Linked DNA regions of Anolis sagrei. The protein of the gene in region 1 binds, or shares a complex with, the protein of each later gene. Links are inferred from orthologs where the notes say so. Each region holds a gene or a part of one and is shown in the gene's direction. Other genes may lie near its edges. The genes, in order: AKAP13, dual specificity mitogen-activated protein kinase kinase 3-like, PKN1 and MAP3K20.

Region 1 (7,295 bases):
CTCCTGAGCCAATTAAGGAAGAGGCCCGAGGCTGTTAAGAATGATGGGAGTTGGAGTCCAAATCACCTGGAGGGCCCAAGTTTGCCCATACCTGGTATAGACTCATATAATGCAGAAAAACTCCATTATATGAGTTTCCACTAACCATATAATGCACTTCGAAACAGCATTATATGGCATTGTAGATGTGGTCCTAGTTAACTGAAATATGTTTATAGAAGACTTCTCTTAAGTGTGGTAGCTTTCATGGTTTCACTTTAAGTTTTACACCGCATTGAACAATGGTTAGTGTGTATCCATATAATGCAGAGTGAGCAGCATTATATGGTTCTGTGCTGACAATATAATGCATCTTACACTGACTGTATAATGTTCAACAGTGTTTCTCAACCTTCCTAATGCCGTGAACCCTTAATACAGTTCCTCATGTTATGCTGACCCCAATCACAAAAAATATTTTCGTTGCTACTTCATAACTGTAATTTTGCAGCTATTATGAATTGTAATGTAAATATCTGATATGCAGGATGTATTTTCATTCACTGGACCAAATTTGGCACAAATACCCAATACACCCAAATTTGAACACTGGTGGGGTTGGGGGGGATTGATTTTGTCATTTGGGAGCTGTAGTTGCTGGGATTTATAGTTAACCTACAATCAAAGAGCATTCTGAACTCCACCAAGGATGCAATTGAACCACACCTGGCACACAGAACTCGCATGACCAACAGAAAATACTGGAAAAGTTGACCTTGAGTTTTGGAGTTGTAGTTCACCTGCATCCAGAGAGCACTGTGGGCTCAAACAATTATGGCTTTGGACCAAACTTGGCATGAATACTCAATATGCACAAATGTGAACACTGGTGGATTTTGGGAGAAATAGACTTGACATTTGGGAGTTGTAGTTGCTAGGATTTATAGTTCACCTACAATCAAAGAGCAATCTGGACCAAACTTGGCTCGAATAAGAAATAAGCCCAAATGTGAACAATGGTGGACTTTGGGAAAATAGACCTTGACATCTGGAAGTTGTATTTGTTGGGATGTATAGTTCACGTACAATTAAAGAGTATTCCAAACTCCACCAGTGATGGAATTGAACGGAACTTGGCACACAGAACTTCCCCGACCAACAGAAAATACTGGAAGGGTTTGGTGTGCACTGACCTTGAGTTTTGGAGTTGTAGTTCACCAACATCCAGAGCACACTGTGGACTCAAACAATGATGTATCTGGACCAAACTTGGCACGAATAATCAATATGCCCAAATATGAACACTGGTGGAGTTTGAGGAAAGTAGACCTTGACATTGGAGAGTTGTAATTGCTGGGATTTATAGTTCACCTACAATCAAAGAGCATTCTGAACCCCACCAATGGTAGAATTGGGCCAGACTTCCCACACAGAACCCCCATGACCAAAAGAAAATACTGTTATTTCTGATGGTCTTTGATGACCCCTTTGAGACCACCCCCCCGGTCCCAAATTTTAGGTTGAGAAACGCTGATGTAGAACCAGCCTCTTGATGTTAGATATGTGGGAGCTGCAGGAAAATGTTGGGGCCACATTCTTTTTGAGATAGCAATGTCCCCCTTGTACCCCTTCTCATAGATACACCTCTGGTTTTACTCATTAACCTGCAGCCATTTGGCCTGTGTGGGCGTGCCCTAAAGTAGCAACCATGAATATGAAACAGTTAAGTCCTTAGTTAAGCATAAGCTAATACTGGATTCCGGCCAAGATAAACACCTAGCTTTATGCTGGTTCCGCACACAGTGCGCTGAAACACTCCTTCTCGAACAAAGTGAACTCCTTCAACTCTTTCTGTCCGCTCAGCATCCCATATGCTATTCAGAATTCCAGTTCCCTCTTCTTACTTAATCTGTTCTTATCTGTCCAAATCAAAATCTCTATATTTAGTTGGCTCAAACTATTTCTAATTAGCTCTACCTCCCTATTAAACAGACAAGAAATCTGTTTTTTTCTATTGCTCTTCCTATTGGTTTGATCTCATAGCATGGCATCAGCTGTGCCCAAACAGCGGGAGCATCTACAATGTAGAATTAATGCAGTTTGACACCACTTTAAGTGCCATAGCTGGATTCAATAGAACCATGGGAGTTGTTGAATTTTTGAAAGTAACCCAAAGTGGTGTCAAACTACATCAATTCCACAATAAAGATGCACCCAAAGTAGTGCAAACTGCATCAGTTCCACAGTACAGCTGTACCCAAAGTGGTGCCAAACTGCATCAATTCCACAGCCTACATGCACCCAAGGTGGGACCAAACTGCATTGATTCCAGTGTTGATTAGGCACGGTCAAACTTCAGCCTTCCAGGTGTTTTGGACTCTGATTCCCACAATTCCTAACAGCCTCAAGCTCCTCCCCTTGGAGATTGTGGGAGTTGGAGTCCAAAACACATGGGGGGCCGGTTTGCGCATGCCTGGTATAGATGCACTCAAAGTGCTACCGAAGTGCATCAGTTCCACAGTATAGATGCACCCAAAGTGGTGCCAAACTGCATCTATTCCTCAGTGTAGATGCACCCAAAGTGGTGCCAAATTGCATTTATTCCATAGTCTAGATACATACAAAGTGGTGCAAACTCCATCAATTCCCCACTATAGATGCACCCAAAATGGCACCAAACTGCATCAGTTCTACAGTGTAGATCCACCCAAAGTGGTGCCAAACTGCATCCGTTCCACAGTATAGATGCACCCAAAGTGGTGCCAAACTACATCGATTTCACAGTGTAGAACAGGGGTCCTCAAACTTTTTAAAGAGAGGGCCAGGTCACAGTCCCTCAAACTGTCAGAGGGCCAGATTATAATTTGAAAAAACAAACATGAACATACGTATTTTATTTGTAGTGCAAATAACTATAAAAAAACAATACATTAATTAACATGAAGAACAATATTAACAAAAATAAACTTATTCGTATTTCAGTGGGAAGTGTCGGCCTACTTTTGGCTGATGAGATAAGATTGTTGTTGTTGTTGTGTGCTTTTGAGTCACCACAGACTTAGGTTCACCCTGAGCGAGGGCTGGGTAAATTATCTTGGAGGGTCGCATCTGGCCCCCGGGCCATAGTTTGAGGACCCCTGGTGTAGAATGATGCCAAACTGCATCAATTCCAGAGTGTAGATACACCCAAAGTGGTGCCAAACTGCATCAGTTCCCCAGTATAAGATGCAACCAAAGTGGTGCCAAACTGCATCAGTTCCCCAGTATAGATGCAACCAAAGTGATGCCAAACTGTATCAGTTCTACAGTATAGATGCACCCAAAGTGGTGCCAAACTGCATCGATTCCAAAGTATAGATGCACTCAAAGCAATCCCAAACTACATCAATTCCAAAGTATAAATACACCCAAAGTGGTGCCAAATTACATCAGTTTCACAGTATAGATGCACCCAAAGTGATGTCAAACTGCATCAGTTCCCCAGTATAGATGCACCCAAAGTGGTGCCAAACTGCATCAGTTCCCCAGTGCAGATGCACCCCAAGTGGTGCAGACTGCATCAGTTCTACAGTGTAGATGCACCCAAAGTGGTGCCAAACTGCATCAATTCCAGAGTGCAGATGTACCCAAAGTGGTGCCGAACTGCATCGGTTTCACAGTGTAGAATGATGCACCCAAAGTGGTGCCCAATTGCATCAGTTCCACAGTATAGACGCACCCAAAGTGCATCTATTCCACAGTGTAGTTGCACCCAAAGTGGTGCCAAACTGCATCGATTCCAAGGTATAGATGCACTCAAAGCACTCCCAAACTGCATCCCTTCCAAAGTATAAATACACCCAAAGTGGTGCCAAATTACATCAGTTTCACAGTATAGATGCACCCAAAGTGGTGCCAAACTGCATTGATTCCAAAATATAGATGCACCCAAAGTGATGCCAAACTGCATCAATTCCAGAGTGCAGATACACCCAAAATGGTGCAAACTGCATCAGTTCCACAGTATAGATGTACCCAAACTGTGTCCCAAACTGCCTCAACTTCCTAGTGCCCAGACCCTCTAAGCATCCCTTTGTTTGCAAAGTGTCCTCCTCCCATTCGCTCAGTAGGTGGCGCTCACGGGAACCCCTGGATCCGAAGCGTGGGAGCTCAACGAAGCCCCAAAGAAAAAAGTTTCCCCACTCTTTCCGAGTTTGGAAGGCGCTGTTCTGCGCAGGCGTCGTTTGGAGGGGGCAGCGCGCGCTCCCTCCTCCTCGGGCGCGCGCTCGCGTCCCCGTCGGTGCAAGGCGAGCAACAGGCAGAAGAAGAAGAAAAAGGAGAGGAAGAAGAAGAGGAGGAATCCTGGGCCAGCGGCCATTTCCCCCTTGGCTTCCTCCTCCTTCTCCTTTTCCTCAGTGTCTCTGGAGTCACGCGTGGCGGTGAGCAAGAGTGCCTTTTTCTTTTTCTCCTTTGTGTCCCCAAAAGTTCCTTTTTTCTCATTGGAAGGAGAGCCTTGGAAGGAGGAAAGTGTGGGGAGGTTTTCCATCTCCAAGGGCTGAGTTTTGCAAACTTTTCTGAAGTTGTGAGCATTGGAAATAGTGTGAAATTGCATTGTATGGTCAGTTAGAGCAGGTATGGGCTAACTTGGGCCCTCCAGGTGCTTTGGACTCCAAATCCCATCATTCCTAACTTTGGACTCCAACTCCCATCATTCCTAACAGCCTCAGGCCCTTTCCTTTTGCCCCTCAGCCGCTTAAGCGGCTGAGGGGCAAAAGGAAAGGGCCTGAGGCTGTTAGGAATGATGGGAGTTGGAGTCCAAAGTTAGGAATGATGGGAGTTGGAGTCCAAAGCACCAGGAGGCCCAGGCCTGGTGTACACAGACCCTTGTGGGTGGTCAGCCTTAGCCCCCATCTACATTGCCATATAAAATCCAGGTTATCTGACTATATGGCAGTGTAGACTCCTATAATCCAGTTCGAAACAATCTGGATTATTTGGCAGTGGTTTAGAGTCCTGAGACTTTGTGCTCTCAAGGTTTGCGTTGGTTGTGTACTATTTGTTTACGTTGAGTTTTTGTTTGGTTTATGCAAAGTTACGACCAGTTTGGGATTATTTGAAAAAGTTGATTTTATTTATTTATTTATTTGGGATTATTTGAAAAAAGTTGATTTTATCTATTTATTTATTTGGGATTATTTGAAAAAAGTTGATTTTATTTATCTATTTATTTGGAATTATTTGAAAAAAGTTGATTTTATTTATTTATTTATTTATTTGGGATTATTTGAAAAAGTTGATTTTATTTATTTATTTATTTATTTGGGATTATTTGAAAAAGTTGATTTTATTTATTTATTTATTTGGGATTATTTGAAAAAGTTCATTTTATCTATTTATTTATTTGGGATTATTTGAAAAAGTTGATTTCATCTATTTATTTATTTGGGATTATTTGGAAAAGTCGATTTGATCTATTTATTTATTTGGGAATATTTGAAAAAGTCATTTTTTAAAAAAAATTGTGTGTATTTGTGTCAGGAGCAACTTGAGAAACTACAAGTCACTTCTGGTGTGAGAGAAAATTGTGTCTTTTGTGTCAGGAGCAACTTGAGTTATTTAAAGATTTAAATGTTGATAAATGGTTCACTTTTTTGTGACTGTGGTGAGAATGACTTTTGCTAAGTTTTGGAAAATGGAGTTATTTCCCTCTAAGACCCAATGGTTGGACAAAATAATGTAAATTAAGGACTTGGATAAACTGACATTTCTGCTAAAATCAAGCAACGGAAAGGGAATAAAAATGATGGATTGGATGGTTTTTGAAGACTATATTAATAAACATGGTAAATAAGAGGATTTTTGACAAAGACTGAGGGAAAATTATAATTTTTGTTGGGACTATCGAAGAAAGTTTTTCTTTATTATTGGGGTGAAAGGAGGAAGAACGGAAGTCAACTTTATTTTATTTTTATTTTTATTCATATTTTTTTTCTTTTCTTTTTCTCCCCCTCTCTTACTTTTTATTTGGTTCTGTTTCTTTTCAGTATGTGTATTGTGGTTTTATGTTACTTTTGGTAAAATGAATATATATATATATATATATATATAAAAGGAACTAAAAGTCACTTCTGGTGTGAGATAAATGCGTGTGTTTGTGTCAGGAGCGACTTGAGAAACTACAAGTCGCTTCTGGTGTGTGAGAATTGGTCGCCTGCAACAACGTTCCCGGATGTTTTTTTGATGTTTTACCATCCTTGTGGAAGGCTTCTCTCACGTTCCCGCATGGAGAGCTGGAGCTCACAGAGGGAGCTCAACCTCTTCTCCCCGGATTCGAACCACTGGCCTGTCGGTCAGCAGCCCTACTGGCACAAGGTTTAACCCTTTGCGCCACCGGGAGCCCCTAAATTGTACAAAATGCATATGGTTGTGGGTGAACCACAACTCACATCATGCCAGGTTAACCTCGAGAAACTCCATCAGTTCTTAAAGTTTGTTATGTAGGGCAAGTTTGCTCTAGATGCATCATCAGTCGGGTTCAGTGTGCTTTCTGGTGGTAGGGCAAACTACAACTCCCACTATGGTGAGTCAGTCCCCTCAGACCCCTCCAGTAGGTTGAGTTAGTCATGCGGGTTCTACGTGCCAAGTTTTGTCCAGGTCCATCTTCAGGGGAGGTCACAATTTTTCTGCTGCGGGTGAACTACAACTCCCAGAAAGGAAGGTTAGTTCCCCCCAAACCCCTCCAGTAATCAAACTTCAGCATATCAGGTATGTGTGGCAAGTTTGGTCCAAATCCATTGGTGTTTGGGTTCACAATACTCTCTGGATGTAGGTGAACTACAACTCCCCCAAAACAAGGTGAATTTTCCCCAAAGACCTCCAGTATTTTTGCTGGTCATGGGGTTTCTATGGTGAGTCAGTCCCCTCAAACCTCTCCAGCAGGTTGAGTTAGTCATGGGGGTTCTATGTGCCAAGTTTGGTCCAGGTCAATCATCTGTGGAGATCACAGTTTCTCTGGTTGTGAATGTACTACAACTCCCAGAAAGGAAGGTCAGTTTCCCCCCAAACCCTTCTAGTAATCAAATTAGCGTGCTTTGGATGTAGGTCAGTAGTTCTCAACTTGGGGTCCCCAGATGTTTTTGGCCTTCAACTCCCAGAAATCCTTACAGCTGATAAACCAGCTGAGATTTCTGGGAGTTGTAGGCCAAAAACGTCTGGGGACCCCCAGGTTGAGAACCACTGATGTAGGTGAACTACAACTCCTAAATCCCTCCAAAGACCTCCAGTATTTTGTGTTGGTCATGGGAGTTCTGTGTGCCAAGTTATTTCCAGGTCCATCA
Region 2 (7,541 bases), on another chromosome or scaffold:
AGGAGCCCAGTTGCAGAGAGTGTTCAAGGATCGGGACATCCATAGGGAGACTAAGGTGCTTGTTTGTAAAGCTGTAAAAGGCCTCAAACCCTCCCATAACATCATTTCTCACGCACCTGCTTCTCCTCTCCTTATTTCCAATTCCTTGGAAATAAGTTGCATACAGTGTCTCTGAAGTTCCAGTTGCCTTGACCTAGACAAACATTGACCTAGACAAATGTCACTCTGAGTCACCTTCGGGCTGATATGGGCGGGGTAGAAATTGAGTAAACAAATAAATAAATAAATAAATTCATCTCCCACGTTTCTCTCCGTCTGTACTTCTGGCAGGTTCTCATGAGAACGGATATCTGTTGCTTGGCAGAATGGGGTTGGACTGGATGGCCCATGAGGTCTCTTCCAACTCTATGATTCTATTATTTCCCCCAGGCAGGAAGCAGCCAGGCTTTGAAGCTACGAGGCTATTAAATGCTAATAAAGGAGGCCAATTGCAACATTTCCACTGGCCTCCAGCAGACAAGAGTTCTTTCCTCCACCTTGGACATCATTCCACAGCTATATGAACCTCACTTGCCTAGTTACCAACAGACTTCACAACCTCTGAGGATGCCTGTCACAGATGTGGGCGAAATGTCAGGAGAGAATGCTTCTGGAACATGGCCAGGCAGTCTGGAAAACTCACAACAACCCAGTGATTCCGGCTATGGAAGCCTTTGACAACACATACCTATCCTGCCAAACATAGCTTCGCATCCTTTGGCACACCGTGGGTAGATCAGGATTTTTTCATTCCCGATTTCAGGGCAAATCGCATTGTATAAACAGTACAGCCAAGGCGTGTCAAGGGCACCACAAATTCCCCCCTACACACGGGCAGGAACCTTTGCGAAATCACATTCCATCGGCAGAGCAAGGCATGTGCCATCGGAGGAGGAACTCGTCGGTTTTGCCCACAAGGACCAGAGCTAAGCATGGCATTCCAATCCTAGGTGAAGCACTCCAGGTTTTGGATCACAACTCCCATCACAGTCACTTCTCTGGAAATCTGAACCATGCCATGATTTAGAAGCTTACGAGAAGCTCAGCCTGTCATTGAACATCGGGAAAACCAAAGTGCTCTTCCAGCAGTCACCGGCAAATCCCTCTCCAATGACAGAAATACAGCTTAATGGTGTAACATTAGACAATGTTGACCATTTCCGCTCCCTTGGCAGCCACCTCTCCACCAAAATCAACATCGACACCGAAATACAACACCATCTGAGCTCTGCGAGTGCAGCATTCTTGCAAATGAAGCAGAGAGTGTTTGAGGACCGGGACATCAGTAGGGAGACCAAGGAGCTTGTTTACAAAGCTATTGTCCTCCCAACCCTGCTATATGCCTGCGAGACGTGGACTGTCTACAGACATCAACATTGAGACTGAAATACAACACCGCCTAAGCTCTGCAAGTGCAGCATTCTTGCGAATGAAGCAGAGAGTGTTTGAGGACCGGGACATCCGTAGGGATACCAAGAAGCTTGTTTACAAAGCTATTGTCCTCCCAACCCTGCTATATGCCTGTGAGATGTGGACTGTCTACAGACGTCAACATTGAGACTGAAATACAACACCGCCTGAGCTCTGCGAATGCAGCATCCTTCTGAATGAAGCAGAGAGTGTTTGAGGACTGGGACATCCGTAGGGAGACCAAGGTGATTGTTTACAAAGCTATTGTCCTCCCAACCCTGCTAAATGCCTGCGAAATGTGGACTGTCTACAGACGTCACATGCAACTCCTGGTACGATTCCATCAGCGCTTGCCTCCAAAAAACTCCTGCAAGTGCAGTATTTTTCCAAATGAAGCAGAGAGTGTTTGAGGACCAGGACATCCGTAGGGATACCAAGGGGTTTGTTTATAGAGCTATTGTCCTCCCAACCCTGCTATACGCCTGCGAGACGTGGACTGCCTACAGAGGTCACATGCAACTCCTGGAATGATTCCATCAGCGCTTGCCTCCAAAAAACTCCTGTAAGTGCAGCATTCTTCTGAATGAAGCAGAGAGTGTTTGAGGACTGGGACATCCGTAGGGAGACCAAGGTGATTGTTTGAAAGCTGTTGTCCTTCCAACCCTGCTATATGCCTGCGAAACGTGGACTGTCCACAGATGTCACATGCAACTCCTGGAATGATTCCATCAGCATTGCCTCCAAAAAACTCCTGCAAGTGCAGAATTTTTCCGAATGAAGCAGAGAGTGTTTGAGGACCAGGACATCCGTAGGGAGACCAAAGTGATTGTTTACAAAGCTATTGTCCTCCCAACCCTGCTATATGCCTGCGAAACGTGGACTGTCTACAGACGTCAACACCGCCTGAGCTCTGCAAGTGCAGCATTCTTCTGAATGAAGCAGAGAGTGTTTGAGGACCGGGATATCCGTAGGGAGACCAAGGTGATTGTTTACAAAGCTATTGTCCTCCCAACCCTGCTATACGCTTGCGAGACGTGGAGTGTCTATAGACGTCACATGCAACTCCTGGTACGATTCCATCAGCATTGCCCCCAAAAAACTCCTGCAAGTGCAGCATTTTTCTGAATGAAGCAGATAGTGTTTGAGGACCGGGACATCCGTAGGGAGACCAAGGGGCTTGTTTATAAAGCTATTGTCCTCCCAACCCTGCTATATGCCTGCGAAACGTGGACTGTCTATAGACGTCACATGCAACTCCTAATACGATTCCATCAGTGCTTGCCTCCAAAAAACTCCTGCAAGTGCAGCATTTTTCTGAATGAAGCAGAGAGTGTTTGAGGACCGGGACATCCGTAGGGAGACCAAGGAGCTTGTTTACAAAGCTATTGTCCTCCCAACTCTGCTATACGCTTGCGAAACGTGGACTGTCTACAGATGTCACATGCAACTCCTGGAACCATTCCATCAGCGCTGCCTCCGGAAAATCCTGCAAAAAGGGAAGGAAGGAAGGAAGGAAGGAAGGAAGGAAGGAGGAAGAGAGAGAAAAGAAGAAGAGAAATAAAAACAAAGGAAGAATGGAGAGAAGAAGGAAAGAAAGAAAGAAAGAAAAAGAATGAAAAAATTGAATGAAAAAAAGAAAGAGAAAAAAAGGAAGACAAAAAGAGAAAAAACTAACAAAGGAAGAATGGAAAGAAAGAAAGAAAAAGAGTATCAGAAAGAAAGAGAGAGAGAGAGAGAGAAAAGGAAGAAAGGAAAGAAAGAGAAGGAGAAAAAAGAAAAGAAAACAGAAAAAGGGAGAAGGAAGAAAAGGAAAGAAAAAGAAGAAAGGAAGGAAAGAAAGAGAATTAGAAAAATGTAAGGAAAAAAAGAAAGAAAGAAAGGAAGGAAGAAAAGAAACAAAGAAAGAGAAAGAGAAAAAGGAAGGAATAAGGAAGGAAAAAGAAAAAAGGAAGGAAAGAAAGAAAGAAAAAGAGAAAAAAATGAAGAAAGGAAGGAAAGAAAAAGAACAGAAAAAGAAAAAGGAAGGAAGGAAAGAAAAAAGAACAGAAATTAAGAAAGAAAAAAGAAAGAAGGAAGGAAGGAAGGAAGTACGAAAAGAAAGAAAGAAAGAAGAAAGAGAAAAAAGGAAGGAAGGAAAGAAAAAGGAAGGAACGAAAGAGAATGAGAAAAAAGGAAGGAAGGAAGAAAACGAAGAAAGAAAGAGAGAGAAAAAAGGAAAGAAAGAAAGAAAAAGAAGAAGGAAGGAAGAAATAAAGAAAGAGAGAGATAAAAGATAGGAAGAAAAGGAAGAAAGAAACAAACAAAGAAAGACAAAGAGAAAAAGGAAGGAAGGAAAGAAAAAGAAAAAAGGAAGAAGAGAAAGTGAATGAAAAAAAAGGAAGGAAGGAAGGAAAGAGAGAAACAAAGAAAGAGAAAGAAAAAAGGAAGGAAGGAAGAAAAGAAAGAAAGAAAGAAAGAGAAAGAGAAAAAAAGAAAGCAAGAAAAAAGAAAGAAAGAAAAAGAAAAAGGAAGAAAAGAAAGAAAGATAAAAAGGAAGGAAGAAAAGAAAGAAGCAAAGAAAGAAAGAGAAAAGGGAAAGAAAGAAAAAAGAAAGAAAAAGAAAAAGGAAGGAAAGAAAGAGAAAAAAGGAAGGAAGAAAAGAAAGAAAGAAAGAAAGAAAGAAAGAGAAAGAGAAAAAGGAGGGAAGGAAGAAAGAAAGAGAAAGAAAAACGAAGGTAGGAAAGGGAGAAAGAAAGAAAAAGAAGGAAGCAAGGAAAGAAAGAAAGAAACAAACACCAGGTAGGCAGGAAGGGGGCGTGCCTCCAGGTGCGACTCCACCCCTCTGGTCACGTGGGCGATGGTCCCATGGCACCTCCTTCCAGGTAGCCCAGGATTCCAGACAGGCCACGCCCATTGGGGGGCCTGGCAGCCAATGGGAGCGCGGTGCGGCCAGGTGGGCGGGGTCCAGGTGTGTGCTGGGGCTTCCACCCTGCCAGTGCCCAGGTGAGGCTGGTGGAGTGAGAGAGCCTTTCTTCCTTCCTTCCCTCTTGTTTTCTTATTGGGATCTAACTGGATCTAAGGCGGATCAGGACCTGCGAGTGGACGGCTCCCAGCCAAGGGAGAACGCTCCCAGACATGTCCCTCCCGAAAGGTAAGAAGGGCCAGGTAACTTCCAGGGAAGGGGATGGTGGGATTGGCAGTCTCCCCAGCCTTTAGAAGAAGGCTGTGGTGTTTTTAAGCCTATATTTTGCTTGTATTTAGAATCATAAGAGATGGAAGGGAACCCTAAAGGTCATCTAGGCCAACTCCCTTCTCCTAGGTAGGAGAAGCACCATCAAAGCCTTCCAGACAGATGACCATCCAGCCCTTGCTAGATAATAATAATAATAATAATAATAATAATAACTATAATTATAATTATTATATCCTAACGTTGGAAGAGACCCCCTAAAGGTCATCTAATCCAACTCCTCTCTGCCTTCCTGCAGGAAAAGAACCACCAAAGCCGTCCCAACAGATGGCCATCTGGCCCCAGCTTTATTATTGTTGTTGTTGTTGTTGTTATTATTATTATTATTATTATTATGTGTTATGGAATCATAAGAGTTGGAATGGACTCCTAAAGGTCATCTTGTCCAACTCAGAAAAGAACCACCAAAGCTGTCCCGACAGATGGCCATCTGGCCCCAGCTTTATTATTATTATTGTTGTTGTTGTTGTTGTTGTTATTATTATTATTATTATTATTATTATTATTATTATTATTATGTGTTATGGAATCATAAGAGTTGGAAGGGGCCCCTAAAGGTCATCTAGTCCAACTCGCCTCGGCTAAGTAGGAGAAGCACCATCAAAGCCCTCCCAGCAGATAGACATCCAGCCCCTGCCAGATAATAATAATAACAACAACAACTATTATTATTATTATTATTATTATTATTATTATTATTATAGTATCCTAGGGTTGGAAGAGGCCCCTAAAGGCCATCTAGTCCAACCCTTTGCCCGGCAGGAGAAGCACCATCAAAGCCCTCCCAACAGATGGCCATCCAGCCTCTGCCAGATAACAACAACAACAACAACTATTATTATTATTATTATTATTATTATTATTATTATTATTATTATTGTATCCTAGGGTTGGAAGAGGCCCCTAAAGGTCATCTAGTCCAACTCTTTGCCAGGCAGGAGAAGCACAATTAAAACCCTCCCAACAGATGACCATCCAGCCACAGCTAGACAATTGTTGTTATTATTATTATCATTATTATTACTATAGTATCCTAGAGTTGGAAGAGGTCCCTAAAAGCCATCCAACCCTTTGCCAAGTAGGAAAAGCACTACCAAAGCCCTCCCTACAGATGGTCATCCAACCCCTGCTAGATAATAATAATAATAATAATAATAATAATAGAAGGTTCCTAGAGTTGGAAAAGACCCCTAAAGGTCATCTAGTCCAACTCTTTGCCAGGCAGGAGAAGCACCATTAAAACCCTCCCGACAGATGACCATCCAGCCCCAGCTCGATAATTGTTGTTATTATTATTATTATTATTATTATTGTATCCTAGGGTTGGAAGAGGTCCCTAAAGGCCATCTAGTCCAACCCTTTGCCAAGTAGGAAAAGCACTACCAAAGCCCTCCCGACAGATGGTCATCCAACCCCTGCTAGATACTACTACTACTAATAATAATAATAACTATTATTATAGAATCCTAGAGTTGAAGAGACCCCTAAGGACCATCTCTCTTCTAACTCAAGGATATAATAATAATAATAATAATAATAATAATAATAATAATAATAACTATTATTATAGAATCCTAGAGTTGGAAGAGACCCTAAGGACCATCTAGTCCAACTTCCTTCTGCCTTCACGCAGGCAAAGCACAATCAAAGCCCTCCCGACAGATGGCCATCCAGCCTCCAAAGAGGAAGCCTCCACTAGACTCCACTGCTGAAAAAGCTCTCCTTATGGTTAAACAATGACATTTTGTAGAACAAGTTTGACTTCCGTGTTGTGATCTTAATTATGGATTTGCACCATAACAAAAGGCGGTCCTTGCCGGCACGGCTGGCTTCAAGCCAAGGTGGGAGTGGATTGCAACTCCCATTATCCACAAAAGCTTCCAGGTTGACACGATTGTTAGAAAAAGCCTGCCAGATCCAGGCGCGGCTTCCTCTTCCACTTCCTCTCTTCGGTTTCGGTACCTGTTCTTCCCAAATATTGCCTTACGTTGCACCAAGGCTGCAAAACATTCTTTTGTCGTTGTTGTTAGGAGATGATGCATGCACCAAATGTTTGCTTCGTGCATACTTTCTTAGTAACATGCTCTGGTATGATCAAAAGCCCAACATGTGATGGATATGCCGAGTGACTGATGGCAATATAGTATATGGTTCATGGTTAGGAATGGTGGGAGTTGAAGTCCAAAACACCTGGAGGGGCCAAGCTTGCCCATACCTGTGATAGAGTCTGGGATATTTGCAAAGTTTTGCAAAGTTTGGCAAAGTTTTGCAAAGTTTTGCACGCCTTCTCTGCAAGAGAGAGGGATGGTGCCTCAGCAGACTACAACTCCCAAGGATTCATCCTATTGAGCCTCACTGTGGGACATAATTGTGCTCTTTTTTTCTGTTTTGCAAGCTGCAGAAAGGCAGTTGTGCGTCATAGACGTCAGGCTCTCTCGGCCACCTTTCTCGGGGCGTGTGGCGGTTGTGTCATGCTTTGTGTTTGTGATTGCTTACTCACCTTCACGGTAGAAACTTGCGTGGCGTTGACTGCTTTCCAAAGCATTTCCACCTCCTGAATCTTTCAAGAAGCAATTTATTTACTTCCAAGGGGTTGCAACTCCCAGAATCCTTTGAGCCCGGAGCTTTGCAAAGTGTTCATGTTGGGGACGTGCTTTTTAAACATGCCAAAAGCGGGAATTCGGTTTTACTAGCAAAGCATGGGCAAACTACAGCTCTCCAGGTGTTTTGGAAATACAACTCCCACAAAGTTTGCCCGTGCCTGAGTTAAACCAACACCTTATATTAATGTGTGTAGATAGATAGATAGATAGATAGATAGATAGATAGATAGATAGATAGATAGATAGTGTTGGAGTTCAGC
Region 3 (8,003 bases), on another chromosome or scaffold:
ACAGCTTCTGCCAATCTAGCAGTTCAAAAACATGCAAATGTGAGTAGATCAATAGGTATTGCTTCTTCAGGAAAGTAATGGCGCTCCATGCAGTTATGCTGGCCCCATGACCTTAGAAGTGTCTATGGAGAATGCCGGCTCATCAGCTTAGAAATAGAGAGGAGCACCAACCCCTAGAGTCAGACACGACTGGACTTAATGTCAAGGGGAAACCTTTACTTTAACCTTTTCACAACAATGACAGGGATCAATTGTGGGATTCATGAATTAGAAGAGTGTTTCCAAAATTAGAAGTGTGATCATATTATTTTGTAAAGGAAGTAGAGCAATAAAAAATAACAACCATCAAATAGAGAGTGGAAAGTTGTAGTTTGGGATTTTAAAAAGAATAGTTGTTTAATAGCAGTTTAGGTATAGTCGTTGTATAGTTTTTATTTTGCTTGTCAAGAGTCCTCTCTTATTCACCTAGTCCAGGTCCCTTCTTGCCTTTGGAGTCGACTAATTCTCTTTAAATAACACTATGTAACAAAATTTGAAAAAAAATGTTACTGCTTTAAAAGTGTTACTTCTGTTTAATTATTCAGTACTTACTTTGAAAATAGCGGTTATACCCCAGAAACTTCAGTTTTGTGGCTACTACAAACTATGTTGAATTGCTTGAGACTCAGTGAGATATTCATTGAAAAACTAAAAGCTTTTCCCATGTTTTTATGATAGAACCAATTAGGAAATGACATTTATAACTGAGGAGCAAAAATCATGTTACATAGTGTAATAATTTTGAAAATCAACAAGTAGTAGTGTGAAAAATGGGCAGTGGAGAGCATGTGTTCAACTTCCCTTGTATACATCATCTCGACCTTCAGGCAGGGATTCAGTGACTGTCCCAGACACATAGCTTTTCTTTTAAGTCCAAGGCATATGAAAAAAGCACAAGGCAGAGTGGACCAAAGCTTTAGTTTTCTGCTGCATAGTGTCGTCTTCAAATGTGCATCTGCAGCAACAGCAAAATAGATCCCCGCTTTTTCTGGTCTCTGTGTGGTCGTAAGCTCTGCAGTATTATGTTAGGGGCAGTGCTGAAGGAAGTGGCGTGAGTCAGCAACCGCTCCGTTTCCTGCATTGCATCAAGAGGTGTCCAGAGCAAGTACTGAGGCTGTTGAGACTGTGACCTGGACTGATTCCAGGCAGAGTTGAGTGAGGTAGCAGGACATGTACACATCAGACTGCAACAAGGCTGAGCTGAAAGAGCCATACCGGTAGTTCCTTTTATTCCCTGCCATATTTCCATAGGATATTTAAACGTGGCCTATTGGGATGCACCTCAGAAAGGTATCTCTGCTTTACCTTTGTGACAGTAATCCAGAGCTTTCCTTTTACTTAATGGTGTCACATGACTTCAGCAGTTTTTCTGCCACTGCGACCAAGATAGCTGTAAATTCTATATTCACTTTGTAGTATAATTAATTGTTTTTATTAAAACATGCTTAAAGTGAGTGTGATTTTTTAAAGCAGTGACATAGGGCCCCAATCTGGAATGGACTCCTGAACTGGATTGGGGCTCTGGATCAATGCCACATTAAAGATCCATTCCTCCAGCTGCTCTCTGTCTGTGCTGTATTTACCACTGTTGGGGGACGATTTTCACCAGGGAGTTGTGCCACATTCAAGGGCCTGCACAGGGTTTATTTCCTTCCAAATAAGAGCACAGGTGGAGGATAACATATTAGAGTCTCTCATCAGTCCCTTTGGGATATGGAAAGGCACTTCAGAGAGGAAATGAGCCTGTGTTTTTTTTCCTGACACTGTAGGAGGACATCTCATACGTGTCTATTTAATTAAAAAGTATATGTGGTAGTTCCCATCCTTCTATTTTGTCACCATCCCCACCACTATCAAAGCCCATTTGCTAGTAGAATATTTTGAATGATGCATGGTCTTCCTCAAGATCCCAAATCTAGGTGTATTTTTACTTGGGCAAGAGGTGCAGCTACATCTGGGATGCAGATGAGGAATTGGTATTTTATGTAGGCCCATGCTTTGTCTTTTTCTACTGAATAGTCCTTAACAGTGGCCTTTTAAAAAGCCATACAATTTTAAATGTGAACCCATCTTTTTACAATGTTGTTTGGGGGTTGTTATTCTATTGTGAGATTACCCATCAAGAATCAATGTATTGAACTAAACTTTATCCTTGCTCAAAACTGAGCTAGGAGCTTCTATGTTGGAAATTGAAAACTTACAGGGGAAGTTCCTAATGACTTAGTTACAAAGAAGAAGAAGAAGTCATTCTGTACTGCTTCTGCAGAATTGGATTAATGTATATATGTGACTAAGCATCAAGCTATTTTTTGTTTAAAATGTACCCTAAAAACCTGTGTTATCTTATCAATGGGCTTCTGTAGGAGTTGAATTAGGGTGCTTCCAGACATTACAAAAATACGGGTTTAAATGGGAATTAAAAAATGCCAGAACCTGACTGCAGATTCCCACACAGACCTGTTAGTCCTGGTACTGTTTCCCCTGCCTTCTTCACGGCCATCCTCTGTATCAGAACAAGATGGAGAGGGACAGAAGGGTTTTTTAAAAAAATTACTCCATTATGCGCTGGACCGTACATGCAATTATGTGCCCGTGCAAATATCTTAATATAAATATAAGCAGATTTGTATGTGTGTATATGAGGTTTATCACATAACAAAACCCCTTCTGTCAGATTTCTCCCTTCCTCCAATTGTTTTTTCAAGCTCTGTTTAACATTTCAAAGTTTGAAATAAAGAGTTTTAGAGGGTTCTAATTGCTCTCAGTTCATGCTTCCTTTATAGCAGCTGTGTATCCATTTCACAGCTCAATGCACTGATCAGCTGTTTCGGGCTTTTTAAAAGTGGACATGTGAAACAGGGAAGACAGAAAGAAAGTACGTGTTTTTCGCAAGTGCAGGGATATACAGTAATGCGAATATCTGCATTTGCCGGCCAGTATTGGTATAAAAGAGGGCCTTTCTAACCTGTATTTTTAGTCTGTTGCAATGAATCGGTGCTGATTTACATGTAGTCTCATGTAGCCACCCCCTTTTAACCCAGTAAATGCCGTGTTTAAGGTGCTGTGTAGAAGGGCCCTTAGTGGCAGTCTGTTAAGACAAGGCAACAGCCTCAAAGATTGTTAGGCATGGTCAGCTACAGAAGTAAGTGACCAAAAAGGTATCTTGTTTTGCAATACCTTTGTTCTCAGAATGTTTTTCATCTTTTACTAAGTGCCTTTATCTGAATGCTCAAGCAAGTTACAAAGTACTGGTAGCCATTTCATCTGCATAAATTACAATATGACACATCAAGGGGGTTGCATTTCTAAATTTACCATTTAAATAGGAAACCGTGGATTGAACCCTATTAAAATTAATGATTGCCAATGGAACTTACCATGGAGACACCCTAGAGCAATGGTTCTCAACCTGTGGGTCCCCAGGTGTGTTGGCCTACAACTTCCAGAGAACATAGCCAGTTCCCCAGCTGTTAGGATTTCTGGGAGTTGAAGGCAAAAACATCTGGGGATCCACAGGTTGAGAACCACTGCCCTAGAGGATCTAGAAAATTCCTAGAGAGGGCATATTTTGTTGGCGGCAGACAAAACCCCAAGAAGTGGTCCTGCAGATATATGTCGTTTTGTAGTTCCATTACTTGCAGGATATTAAATATCAGCCTTTGCTTATACTGTAACTATGCTCCTGTTCTTACTTTATCTGGCCAGTATTGTAAGGATCTCACTTTCACATATTGTTGGCATTTTTCTTACCATCATCATCAGCACCATCACCACAACTTTTGTTTCTACCCCACACTTTCCTCAAAACCAGCACTCAAGGCAGCTTACAAATGAAAACAAATACAGCATAGCTACAATCTTAAAAAACAACAACAATGTGAAACAAAACTATTAACCACACTAAAAACAATTGAAAAGATGCAATTAAAATGTTAAAAGCAATGCAACAGCAGTACGGTTCAAACAGTACAATGCCCTCTTAAAAGCCCTTCTTTTTGAAACCTTTAATTTTCAAACACCTGCCAGAATAGAAGAGGATTTACCTGCCAACAAAAGGACTGCCAGGAGGGGCCCATTTTAGGAAGGTGAGGGGGGGGGGGGTCAAAAGAAGAGGCTCACTTCAGGATCTCAGGACCTGGACAGGCTCATACGGAAGATACAGTCTGCCAGCTGGCCTGAGTCTAAGGCACCCATCTTCTAGTACTCCTTTTCTCCTGTCTTATAACTAGTAAAGAGAAAAATACATTTCTTCTTCTAACACATTATTCTTTGCTCATTCTCTCTGAATCCAATCCAGTAGAGTACACATCGGCTCACATATCACACACACACCATTTCAGCACTTCTTAACTATCTTGCACTCCTGATCTTCTTCTGGCAAAAAGGTTCTTTGCTTCTCCGGAAATCACTCACACATATACTTGTTTAATACCCCAAATTTTTCAGAACAAAGTTTTTTTTGTTTGCTTGCATGTTTAGTAGTTTTGGCAATAGCCCGCCCCTCTTGTACAGTCTAATGCAATTAAATCTGACACACGTGTTCTGTAAAACCTAGGTTCTGCAATGTAAGTGTTATAAATGGCAGCTTCATCATCATGTCCCAACTATCTGTTACTCTTTTGTGTTACTTCCAGCTGAATGAAGTTCTGGTGGACTCAACAGTTGTACAGTATATTATTATGTTTCGATTGGTCCAAATAAAAGTATTTCCCTTCTGTAATGTTTAGATTTGGTTTCCCCTTTCAAATTCACTCTGGAGGTTGAAGGGATGGCGTTTGGAAAGTCAGCAGGGGGCACATAGGCCCCGTGGTTGCTCCCTTCAGTTAGCCTGGGTTCCGGTATTGCCAGCAAATGCAGGAACTCTGTAAGGAAGTGGTTTGTTTGCACACAGGCCAAAAGAACGGTTTGAATCTACAGGCAGGAAATGAGGGTGTAGCCGGCACGCAGTTGGGAGCAGAAGGGACTGGCGATCGCTGCTGAGCCTCTCCACGGGCCAGGATGTCTTTCTCGGAGCCTGATACAAATTCTGAGCATGAGTTGGAGGTACTGCCTTTTGGAAGGGATTCATAGCAGAGGGCTGTGCTATTAACTGCCCCTCCCTCCCTCTTGAACAGTTGGTGGGGGGGGGGGCAATGTGCAGAAAACAATCTTATGATACATCATAAATCAATACGGCTGTAAAGTGGGCCTGAATCCTAGTCTAAATGGATAATTATATTTGGAGGAATATGTGTGAAATCTGGATGCTTGCATTTAATTCCATTTGTGGTTTTAGAATTGGGTTGCCTTATCAACATGTTGCAACTTACCCTTATGTGCAGTTGTCTGTATACATAGGAGATGCCTGTTCACAATCCCCTGGGCATTGTAGAGAGCAATCAGGAAAAAAAACTACAAGGCATATGCAACAGTAAACAAAGGTAGGCAGCTGTTTTTCCCTACAAGGCATAAGCATGGTAATGATAATGGTAATGGACAGTTTGTTGGACTACACACACACATATAAACACACACGTTTTTCAGTTCCAGCATGGAAAAATGAAGATTGTTGTTGTTGTTGTTACATTGATGGTCTTATTATTTGTTGCTTTTGTGTGCCTTCAAGTTGTTTCTGACATATGGTGACACTAAGGCAAACCTATCAGGGCATTTTCTTGGTGAGATTTGTTCAGCAGAGAGGGAGATGCCATTGCCTTCTCCTTAGGCCAGTGGTTCTCAACTTGTGGGTCTCCAGATGTTTTGGCCTTCAACTCCCAGAAATCCTAACAGCTGATAAACTGGCTAGGATTTCTGGGAGTTGTAGGCCAAAATACCTGGGGACCCACAGGTTGAGAACCACTGCCTTAGGCAGAGAAAGTGTGACTTGGTCATCCAGTAATATTGGACTAGAACCATCAGTCCAATATGCAGACTTCAACCATATTGACTGTCCTGGATTAATTAGACTTTGAAGGCTTACATTTTTTTATTGGTATGTGCTTACATGTATGTCTATTTTAATTGTTGCAAGCTCCCTAAGTTCCAGTAGTGGGATGGGTGAGAAACAAGATATAAATAAACTAACATAATTAATATTTCTCCATTTGCTACTCTCCCCTTTAATTATGTGCCATCCTCCCCTTTAATTAATAGAGTCCACCAAGTGGCATGATGCTGGCAAGACATTCAGCAGAAGCATGGGTAACCACACAGCCCATGGAAGAGGCCTCTGCAGTGGTTGCATGTTGCCCATACAGTATGTAATGCACAAGAAGGAGCACTTCTGGAACATATGTGGGCAACATGCTGTCTGGATCTGCAAAAACAGTGCCTCTCTGTAAATGCTGGAAGCATCAGCAGTGTGAACAGTAGATGATGTGTCTGTGGAGGAAGGGATGTCATGTCATATGAGTTGGGGAAAGGAGACACTGCGTTACTGACTATGAGGCATTTGAGACCCCAAACAAGAGAGCACCCTAGGGCACAGGCCTGTCATCTTGCTTAAGTTACGCCTGTGAAGCGTATGGTGGTATATATGCCGCAGTCATAATTTTCAAAGGACTCTTTTGAAATCCTTAATTTTGTTTGTCCTTGCAGGAACTCTGTTCGTAGTTGCTATTAATACACACTTTACAACTGAAGCCCCTGCATTGGGTTCAGCTTGGGACAAAGACCTACTCAAGTCTCAACAAGGATCTGATAGGTTTAGGCTGTGGCCTTCGTTATATATATTGAAAGCACACTGGGCTGTAAATGAAATATAGCACCGCCTCACTATTATTGCCCAAAGATCTTGGCCACATTCAGACATAGCATCACATCCACTGTGGCAGGAAACAATTTCAGCAAATCTCAGGCTCACATATCCTGGTCTTTTTCTGATATGGTTGTGAGTAGGAGAACCAAAGCTCTTACACCTGGTTTAAATCAACTACATCACAAACTGTGCTTAATGCTAACTACGGTATAAGTTGACTTCTTTAAACAGCGATAGTTCATTCCCACATTCCTGGTATATCAACACATTTCTGGATTAATGTCTTTCTCTGCCCACTCCATCTTTTCCAAAAGGCATATCCATGCAATGGCTGGCAGTCTAAAAGCATTAAATAGTATTCAGCATTTGTATAGTGCCTTATAGTGTTGACATTGTTTTTAAAATATTATGAATTATTCTTATAATGTCTGTACAAGATAGGTAAATATTATTTTATCGAAACTCACATTGGTGGCTGAGATAATAATGGTTTGTCTAAGTCTACCAAGTGGGCCAGGCTGACTGATTTTAAATAAACATAATTCATATATTTTATGTAAATTGTCAAAGGGGGGAACTGTTTAAAACAGTGTCATTAAAACACTAATTTTAAACACTTCACCGTTTTGCAATGAATATAGGAAGTACTCAGCAAAAATGTTTGATCTCAAGTGTGTGGCTCAGCTCTTGGTGAATTAGACATGTGCTCAGCCATCCTTCCTGTGCAGAAGATGTGGAAGTGGGGATGGGTGTGGGAGGAATTATCCAGTTCCCTAAGGGTGGCAGGGGGAGGGAGAGAGGTTGTGGGATGCTTGGTAACTTTGTGGCCTAGGCACAAAGAGAACTCCCCATTTGTCCAAAATGTTGGCGCCATGCTTGGTTTGGGGTAAGAAAGAAGGATTCAGAAACAGATACAACATCATATTTCAGATGAACAGATCTTTTTGCCAGCTTATTCCACTGACCTTCCTTCACATCCAAACACAGAAATCAGAAACTATATTGCATGGATTATCCTGATTTTGGTGTTAAATAATATATCTTTGCATCTGAGATTTTAGTCAGATTCTGTCATAACTGCTATTCTAAGTTCTAGTCTTCGTGTGATTGCTTGACTACAGTTTCCATTCCAATTAATGATTGAGCCAAGGTATTAAAAATACTTAACACTTTCAGTGTTTTCATCACCCACTTCAAAGTTATTTAAATAATCTTTGGCCATTCTTTT
Region 4 (7,559 bases), on another chromosome or scaffold:
TGTTGCAGGTTCAGTCTCTGGCATCTCCTGTCCTGGTTCTATGGTATAAATTGAATTTGTTGCATGCCTTCAAGTTGTTTACAATTTATGGTAACCTGTCTATGGTATTTTCTGCTCTTCCAGACAGACCCTATATTCCAGGATCTGATCCCTAGTTTTCTGTTTATCCCAGATTATCTGGCAGTGCAGACTCATATCCAGTTTAAAGCAGAAAACCTGGGATCAGATCCAAGGAAAATGGGATAAAACAAAAACCAAACATTCAGAACTATTCTTACATTATATCATCACATGTGGGGCTTAAAAGCCTGTCTGGAAGGGTCCCTAGTCTCCAGAGTCATGTTCTGACACTCAAACCACAACACCATACTCCTTAATTTTTCTTTTAATATATTTTATTATATCACACAAAATTTAGACTTTTGTTCTCCTGATAGCACAAAATGTTGTTCTCTTAAAGTTTTGTTTGTGACATTGAGAAAGAATGAGAGAAGGTCATGGAGACGAAGGGCTACTACAAGTTGAACATCCTTTACCTGGAAGTCTAAAATCCTGAAAGGTTTTAAGCATGTATTCTTACTATAGGTTGAACATCCCTGATCTAGATGCTCCAAAACCCAAAACTGTCCACATAGGTGGTTGAGATAGTGCCACCTTTGCATTCTGCTGGTTCGGTGCATCTACATTGTAGAATGAATACAGTTTGACATCACTTAGTGCCATGGCTTAGTGCTATGAAATACTGAAAGCTGCATTTTTACAAGGTCTTTAACCTTCTCTACGAAAAAGTGCTAATTACCCACCAGACTACAACTTCCAAGATTCCATCATGTTGAGCCAAGGCAGTTAAAGTGCTGTCAAATCTCAATTCATTCTACAGTGTATATGCACCAAAGGTGCACATAAATGCACATAATATTTGTGTTTAGACTTGAGTTCCATCTCCAAGCTATCTCATGATGTTGCTTTGCTTTTGCTTTAGGCGATCCCTTGTAGCCCGAGGATGATGGTCCTCCAAGACTGGTATGTATAGGCAGATACCTACACAGATATTCCAAAATACGAAAAAAAAAAACCCAATGTCTTTGATCTTATGTATTTTATAGTTTCATCTGAGTGTTTTTATTGTGTTGCTCAATGCCTTGAATTGTGAAAAGAGTTGGGTACAAGCAAAAACAATGAAGATGAAACACAAATGAAATTCATGTTTAGACTTGGGTCCTATCTCCAAACTGTCTCATGCTGTGTGTATCAGAAAATACCTGTATGGGCATTTCAAAATACAACAGCAGCAGCAGCAGCAACAACAACACCCAAACAGTTTTGTTTATACGATCTTTCACCTTCTCTGCCACAGAGTACTCATCCAATTCCTTGTATTGAACCATAGCAGTTAAAGTGTCGTAACCTTTATTAATTATGGCATCCATGGTGTCAGGCATGTAGCCGGGGGGGGGGGGCTCGGGGGGCTTCAGCCCCACCTGAAATTCTCATGGTGGTTCGCGAAAAGGCCTTACTGGTGCATTATTTACACTGTTATGTTTATTCATATCATGATCTGATCACCATACTCAGTATATCCCATATGCATGGGGGTATTGGGGTAATGATACAAAAGGTTTGCTAGGGCAGACCCTCTTTCACTCAGACTCAGCCCCCCCCCAAACTCAGCCCCCCCCCCGAAACCCCCCCTGAAAAAATTTCAGCCCCCCCCCCCCCCCCCGAAACGAAATCCTGGCTACGGGCCTGCAAGGTGTATATGAAACACAAATTAATGTCATGTTTAAGCTTTGGATCCCGTTTGCATGCTATTTGCTGATGTAGGATATCCTCTTCATTCTGGAAAGAAGTGACCAGTAGAGTGCTGCGGTGTTCAGTTCTGGGCCCAGTACTGTCCAACATCTTTATTAATGACTTGGATGAAGGTTTAGAGGGCATGCTTATCAAGTTTGCAGACAACATCAAATTGGGAGAATAGCTAATTGAATTCTGCTCCAGAGGACAGGAGCAGAATTCAAAATGATCTTTACAGATTAGAGAACTGATTGGCACAAACTAACAAAACAATTTTCAACAAGGACAAATGTAAGATACTACACTTAGTTAGAAAAAAAATGTAATGCAAAGATATAGGATGGGTGATACCTGGCTGGACAACAGTCCATGTGAAAAAGATCTTGGAGTCTTCGTGGACAACAAGTTAGATATGAGCCAACAGTGTGATGCAGCAACTAAAAAAGCCAATGCTTTGAGCTGCAAAAAAAGGAGTATAGTGTCTAGAACAGTGGCTTCCAATCTATGGTCCGTGGACTACCAGTGGTCCACAAGAACAAAAATATGGTCTCCGGCCTCGCCATTTCTACACCATTGCCTCCAAACCGCATGACAGTGAGAGCCACTGGTTTCATGAAAACCTCTTATAGTGCTGAGGCAACAGGGATGTTGGGAGGGGAGAGGCAGACTACCCACGAAAAATTACTACTACATTATTACTACATCACCTGTAGATTATTAAATATAATTTTCTATGGGCAAGCAGTTGGCAACTGTTGGATAGCATATGTTCTGTACCAGAAACTAGAGCTGATGTGGTCTATCCAATGCCATTTTCTGAATCAGCACCTCTTTTGGTACTAATGTTGGGGAGTGGTCCCTGATAAAAAAAAAAAAAGGTTGAGGACCACTGGTCTAGATCAAGTTCTGCCAACCTAGCAGTTTGAAAACATGCAATTGTGAGTAGATCAGTAGGTACTGCTCTGGTGGGAAGGTAACAGCGCTCCATGCAGTCATGCTGGCCACATGACCTTGGAGGTGTGTCTACAGACAATGCCGGCTCTTCAGCTTAGGAACGGAGATGAGCACCACCCCCCAGAGTTGGACACGACTGGACTTAATGGCAGGGGAAAATCTTTACCTTAAGGGTTAGGATAAGGTTTAGGGCAGGGGTCTTCAAACTTTTTAAACAGAGGGCCAGGTCACAGTCCCTCAAACTGTTGGAGGGCCAGATTATAATTTGAAAAAAACATGAATGAATTCCTATGCACACTGCACATATCTTATTTGTAATGCAAAACACTTAAAAACAATATAATAATTAAAATGAAGAACATGTTTAACAAATATAAACTTATTAGTATTTGAATGGGAAGTGTGGGCCTGCTTTTGGCTGATGAGATAGGATTCAAGAGAGATATTGACAAGCTGGAATGTGTCCAGAGGAGGGCGACTAAAATGATCAAGGGTCTGGAGAACAAGCCCTATGAGGAGCGGCTTAGGGAACTGGGCATGTTTAGCCTGAAGAAGAGAAGGCTGAGAGGAGATATGATAGCCATGAATAAATATGTGAGAGGAAGACACAGGGAGGAGGGAGCAAGCTTGTTTTCTGCTTCCTTGGAGACTAGGACGCGGAACAATGGCTTCAAACTACAAGAGAGGAGATTCCATCTGAACATTAGGAAGAACTTCCTGACTGTGAGAGCCGTTCAGCAGTGGAACTCTCTGCCCCGGAGTGTGGTGGAGGCTCCTTCTTTGGAAGCTTTTAAGCAGAGGCTGGATGGCCATCTGTCAGGGGTGATTTGAATGCAATATTCCTGCTTCTTGGCAGGGGGTTGGACTGGATGGCCCATGAGGTCTCTTCCAACTCTTTGATTCTATGATTCTATGATTGTTGTTGTTGTTGTGTGCTTCCAAGTCATTTCAGACTTAGGCTGACCCTGAGTGAGGGCCGGGTAAATGACCTTGGAGGGCCATATGCGGTCCCTGGGCCTTAGTTTGAGGACCCCTGGTTTAGGGTTTGGGTTAGGACAAGGATTTGGGTAAGGGGTTAAGCTTAGGCTTATGGTTCAGGTTTAGGGTTTCCCCATTAAAGAACTCTTACATTCCTTCTATTTTTTCTGCCTCCAGCTTGGCTTACACTAGCTAAGTCTCTCTTGCACAAATAGTGCTCCAGAAGGAGTGATGCAGCATCTCCGTAACACTCGGAGTTTCGGACCCAGCTATCATACTATTACCCCAAAACACCTGAAGGGCCAAAGTTCGCCCATGCCTGGTGTACATGATAGACTGAATGACAGCACTTCAATAGCCATGACTCAATGCTAGGGGGTGGTGAGAGTTGGAAGAATCCTAGAGTTGGAAGAGACTTTATGGGCTATCCAGTCCAACCCCCTGCCAAGAAGCAGGAAAATCGCATTCAAAGCACCCCCGACAGATGGCCATCCAGCCTCTGTTTAAGGAGCCTCCTCACACTCCGGGGCAGAGAGTTCCACTGCTGAACAGCTCTCACAGTCAGGAAGTTCTTCCTAATGTCCAGATGGAACCTCCTTTCTTGTAGTTGCATTTTCCCAAGATCTGTCGCCTCCCTTGCCCAAGAGTGCGGGTGCCTCCTCAGACTACAACCCCCATGACTCCATAGCAATGAGCCAGGGGCAGTTCAAGCGGTGGGAACCGCATTAATTCTCCAGTGGAGACACGCGGGGGAGGAAGGGAGGAAGGAGGGAGAGAGGGAGGGAGGGAGGGAGGCGGGCAGGCGGGCGCGGGGTGGTGCTGCTGCTGCGCCTGGCCGCGCCAAGGCTGGCCTCCTTTGACATCCACCGGAAGCGTGGCAGCAACTCCCTCACTCCCACGGAGAGGCACCTCCACGCCCCACGCCGCCCGCCAGAAGAGGGCTGGCTTCCCCGGCTGTGGGGAGCTTCACACTCGCGCCTCTGGCACGGCGGGCACTTCCAGGAAGGTAAGGCTACAAAGTGGCGGGCGCAGAGCTGGGAAGTGTTTCTGTGGGAGAGCGAGAGGGGGCTCTGGGGAGGGCGTGCTTGTGGATATGTGTGTGGGAATGCCCCCCTGGCTCAGCCCCCTTCCCTCGCTCACCAGGGAGGGCCTTTATGTAAGTTTTTGGACAAGTTAAGAGGGACGTTTCCCCTCCTTCGAGCACAAGAGCAGCACACCACCCACACCGCCAAAGTTGTGGCGTCGACTGGGAAAGAAAGGCACTCCACTAGGCCTTGCTGCTGCCGGCAGTTTGGGAATTCAGGTCTACCTGAGCAACCCCGCCCCATCCGAGGCAGAAGCGGGTGATTAAAGACCTGGGCTTCTGGCATTTTTTGTCCCCATGATGCAGCCTCACAGAGAGCTCTCTGGGAATCGTTGCCTTGTTCCTTTTCCCTCTGCTTTCCTATCTTTCCCAAACTCTAGTGCAGTGCTTCTCAACCTTCGTAATGCCACGACCCCTTAATACAGTTCCTCATGTTGTGGTGACCCCCCCCCCCCAACCATAACATATTCGTTGCTACTTCACAACTGTAATTTTGCTACTGTTATGAATCGTCATGTAAATGTCTGAAATGCAGGATGTATTTTCATTCACTGGACCAAATTTGGCATAAATACCTGATATGCCCAAATTTGAATACTGGTTGGGTTGGAAGCATTGGTTTTGTCATTTGGGAGTTGTACTTGCTGGGATTTATAGTTCACCTACAATCACAGAGCATTCTGAACTCCACCAACAATGGAATTGAACTAATCTTGGCACACAGAACTCCCATGAACAGAAAATACTGGAAGGGTTTGATGGGCATTGACATTGAGTTTTGGAGTTGTAGTTCACCTACATCCAGAGAGCACTGAACCAAACTTGGCATGGATACTCAGTATGTCCAAGTGTGAATACTGGTGGTGTTTGGGGGAAATAGACTTTACCATTTGGGAGTTGTAGTTGCTGGGATTTATAGTTCACCTACAATCAAAGAGCATTCTGAACTCCACCAACAATGGAATTGAACCAATCTTGGCACAGAAAACTCCCATGAACAGAAAATACTGGAAGGGTTTGATGGGCATTGAGCTTGAGTTTTGGAGTTGTAATTCACCTACATCCAGAGAGCACTGTGGACTCAAACAATGATGGTTCTGGACCAAACTTGGCATGGATACTCAGTATGTCCAAATGTGAATACTGGTGGAGTTTGGGGAAAACAGACCTTGACATTTGGGAGTTGTAGTTGCTGGGATTTATAGTTCACCTACAATCAAAGAACATTATGAACCCCACCAACGATAGAACTGGGCCAAACTTCCCACACAGAACCCCCATGACCAACAGAAGATACTGTGTTTTCTGATTGTCTTTGGTGACCCCTCTGACACCCCTTTGCGACCCCCCAGGGTTCCCGACCCCCAGGTTGAGAAACACTGCTCCACTGCAGCTCATAGAAGCCCTGATCATTTCCTCAGGCAGGTGAGGTTTCTGGGAGTTGCGGGTCCCAAACACATGGAGAACTAGAGTTTGGGATTACGGCTCAGGGCAGGCATGGACAAACTTCGGCCCTCCCAATGTTTTGGTTCTAGAAAATGGCATTCATAACCATTTGGAGATCATAACCTTTTGGAAAAGCCGTGGTCTTTCAGAGAAGAGCCAAAAACCCATCTGAGTATAATCTTCTCAAGTGGTACACAACCAGAATTTTTTTATCATGTCAGAAAGGACTTGAGAACACACTGCAAGTTGCTTCTGGTGTGAGGCAATTGGCCTTCTACAGAGACATTGCTCAGGGGACTCCTGGATGTGTTACCGTCCTGCTGGGAGGCTCCTCTCATGACAGATGGGAGCTCACACCATCTCACAGATTCAAACCGGCAATCTTCAGATCACCAACTCAAGCTTCAGATCAGCAGTCCAGCCAACACAAGGGTTTAACCCAGTGGTTCTCAACCTATGGGTTCCCAGGTGTTTTGGCCTAGAGCTTCCAGAAATCCCAGCCAGTTTACCAGTTGTTAGGACTTCTGGGAATTGAAGGCCAAAACATCTGGGGACCCACAGGTTGAGAACCACTGGTTTAACCCATTCTGCCACAACCAGATATAGTTATGCAAGTCAATTTGGCTTTCAGTTGTTATTAATAACCTGTTGTTAATCGGAAATGGAATATGCCAGTGCAAGTGTTTTTCAGTTGCCCCAAAATTCATCTACTCTCCCATAAAACAATTTTTTATATAATGCACTCAAGAGACAAAATTGAAGTAGATTTTGTTAAAAATAGCATAACCACATGAAGTTGTGGTTTACTCACAACTTAATGTGTTCAGCATACACAGGTACACAACTTACAAGTCCAGTTGCAGGTATGTTTGAGACAGTTGCTCTGGGCACATGGCATCTTTCTTAAAATCAACAGCAGGCAAATGTTGGTCTGAATATTTCCAAAGTCTAATGGAGTCTGTGCTCTGTGTTCATCTCAGAGCCTAATTAAGTGGTCTGCAGCTGCTCCCACAACTTCTCAAGAAAAACATAGAGCAAGGAAAGAAAGCTGCATATAGAATCATATAGTTGAAAGATGCCTCGTGGGTCATCCAGTCCAATCTCCTGCCACGAAGCAGGAAAATCACGTTCAAAGTACTCCCAACAAATTGCCATCCAGCCTCTGTTTAAAAGCCTCTAAAGAAGGAGCCTCCACCACATTCTGGGGCAGAGAGTTCCACTTCTGAACAGCTCTCACAGTTAGGAAGTTCTTCCTAATGTTCAGGTGGAATCTCCTTTCCTGTAGTTTGAAGTCATTCTTCCA

Evidence for each region.
Region 2: AKAP13 (region 1) and dual specificity mitogen-activated protein kinase kinase 3-like share a complex: the UniProt entries of both Homo sapiens proteins name them as parts of the signaling complex. The link is inferred for Anolis sagrei from reciprocal best matches to the Homo sapiens genes AKAP13 and MAP2K3.
Region 3: AKAP13 (region 1) and PKN1 share a complex: the UniProt entries of both Homo sapiens proteins name them as parts of the signaling complex. The link is inferred for Anolis sagrei from reciprocal best matches to the Homo sapiens genes AKAP13 and PKN1.
Region 4: AKAP13 (region 1) and MAP3K20 share a complex: the UniProt entries of both Homo sapiens proteins name them as parts of the signaling complex. The link is inferred for Anolis sagrei from reciprocal best matches to the Homo sapiens genes AKAP13 and MAP3K20.

The regions. Positions count from the first base shown.
Region 1 is NC_090029.1:22,068,442-22,075,736, reverse strand, and holds the start of AKAP13 (A-kinase anchor protein 13), read left to right. Parts: upstream 1-4,226; 5' UTR 4,227-4,397; intron 4,398-7,295. UniProt on the Homo sapiens protein: Scaffold protein that plays an important role in assembling signaling complexes downstream of several types of G protein-coupled receptors.
Region 2 is NC_090035.1:3,667,906-3,675,446, forward strand, and holds the start of dual specificity mitogen-activated protein kinase kinase 3-like, read left to right. Parts: upstream 1-4,451; 5' UTR 4,452-4,563; coding exon 4,564-4,579; intron 4,580-7,541. UniProt on the Homo sapiens protein: Dual specificity kinase. Is activated by cytokines and environmental stress in vivo. Catalyzes the concomitant phosphorylation of a threonine and a tyrosine residue in the MAP kinase p38.
Region 3 is NC_090022.1:128,247,077-128,255,079, forward strand, and holds the start of PKN1 (serine/threonine-protein kinase N1), read left to right. Parts: upstream 1-4,977; 5' UTR 4,978-5,037; coding exon 5,038-5,082; intron 5,083-8,003. UniProt on the Homo sapiens protein: PKC-related serine/threonine-protein kinase involved in various processes such as regulation of the intermediate filaments of the actin cytoskeleton, cell migration, tumor cell invasion and transcription regulation.
Region 4 is NC_090021.1:192,978,745-192,986,303, reverse strand, and holds the start of MAP3K20 (mitogen-activated protein kinase kinase kinase 20), read left to right. Parts: upstream 1-4,545; 5' UTR 4,546-4,732; intron 4,733-7,559. UniProt on the Homo sapiens protein: Stress-activated component of a protein kinase signal transduction cascade that promotes programmed cell death in response to various stress, such as ribosomal stress, osmotic shock and ionizing radiation.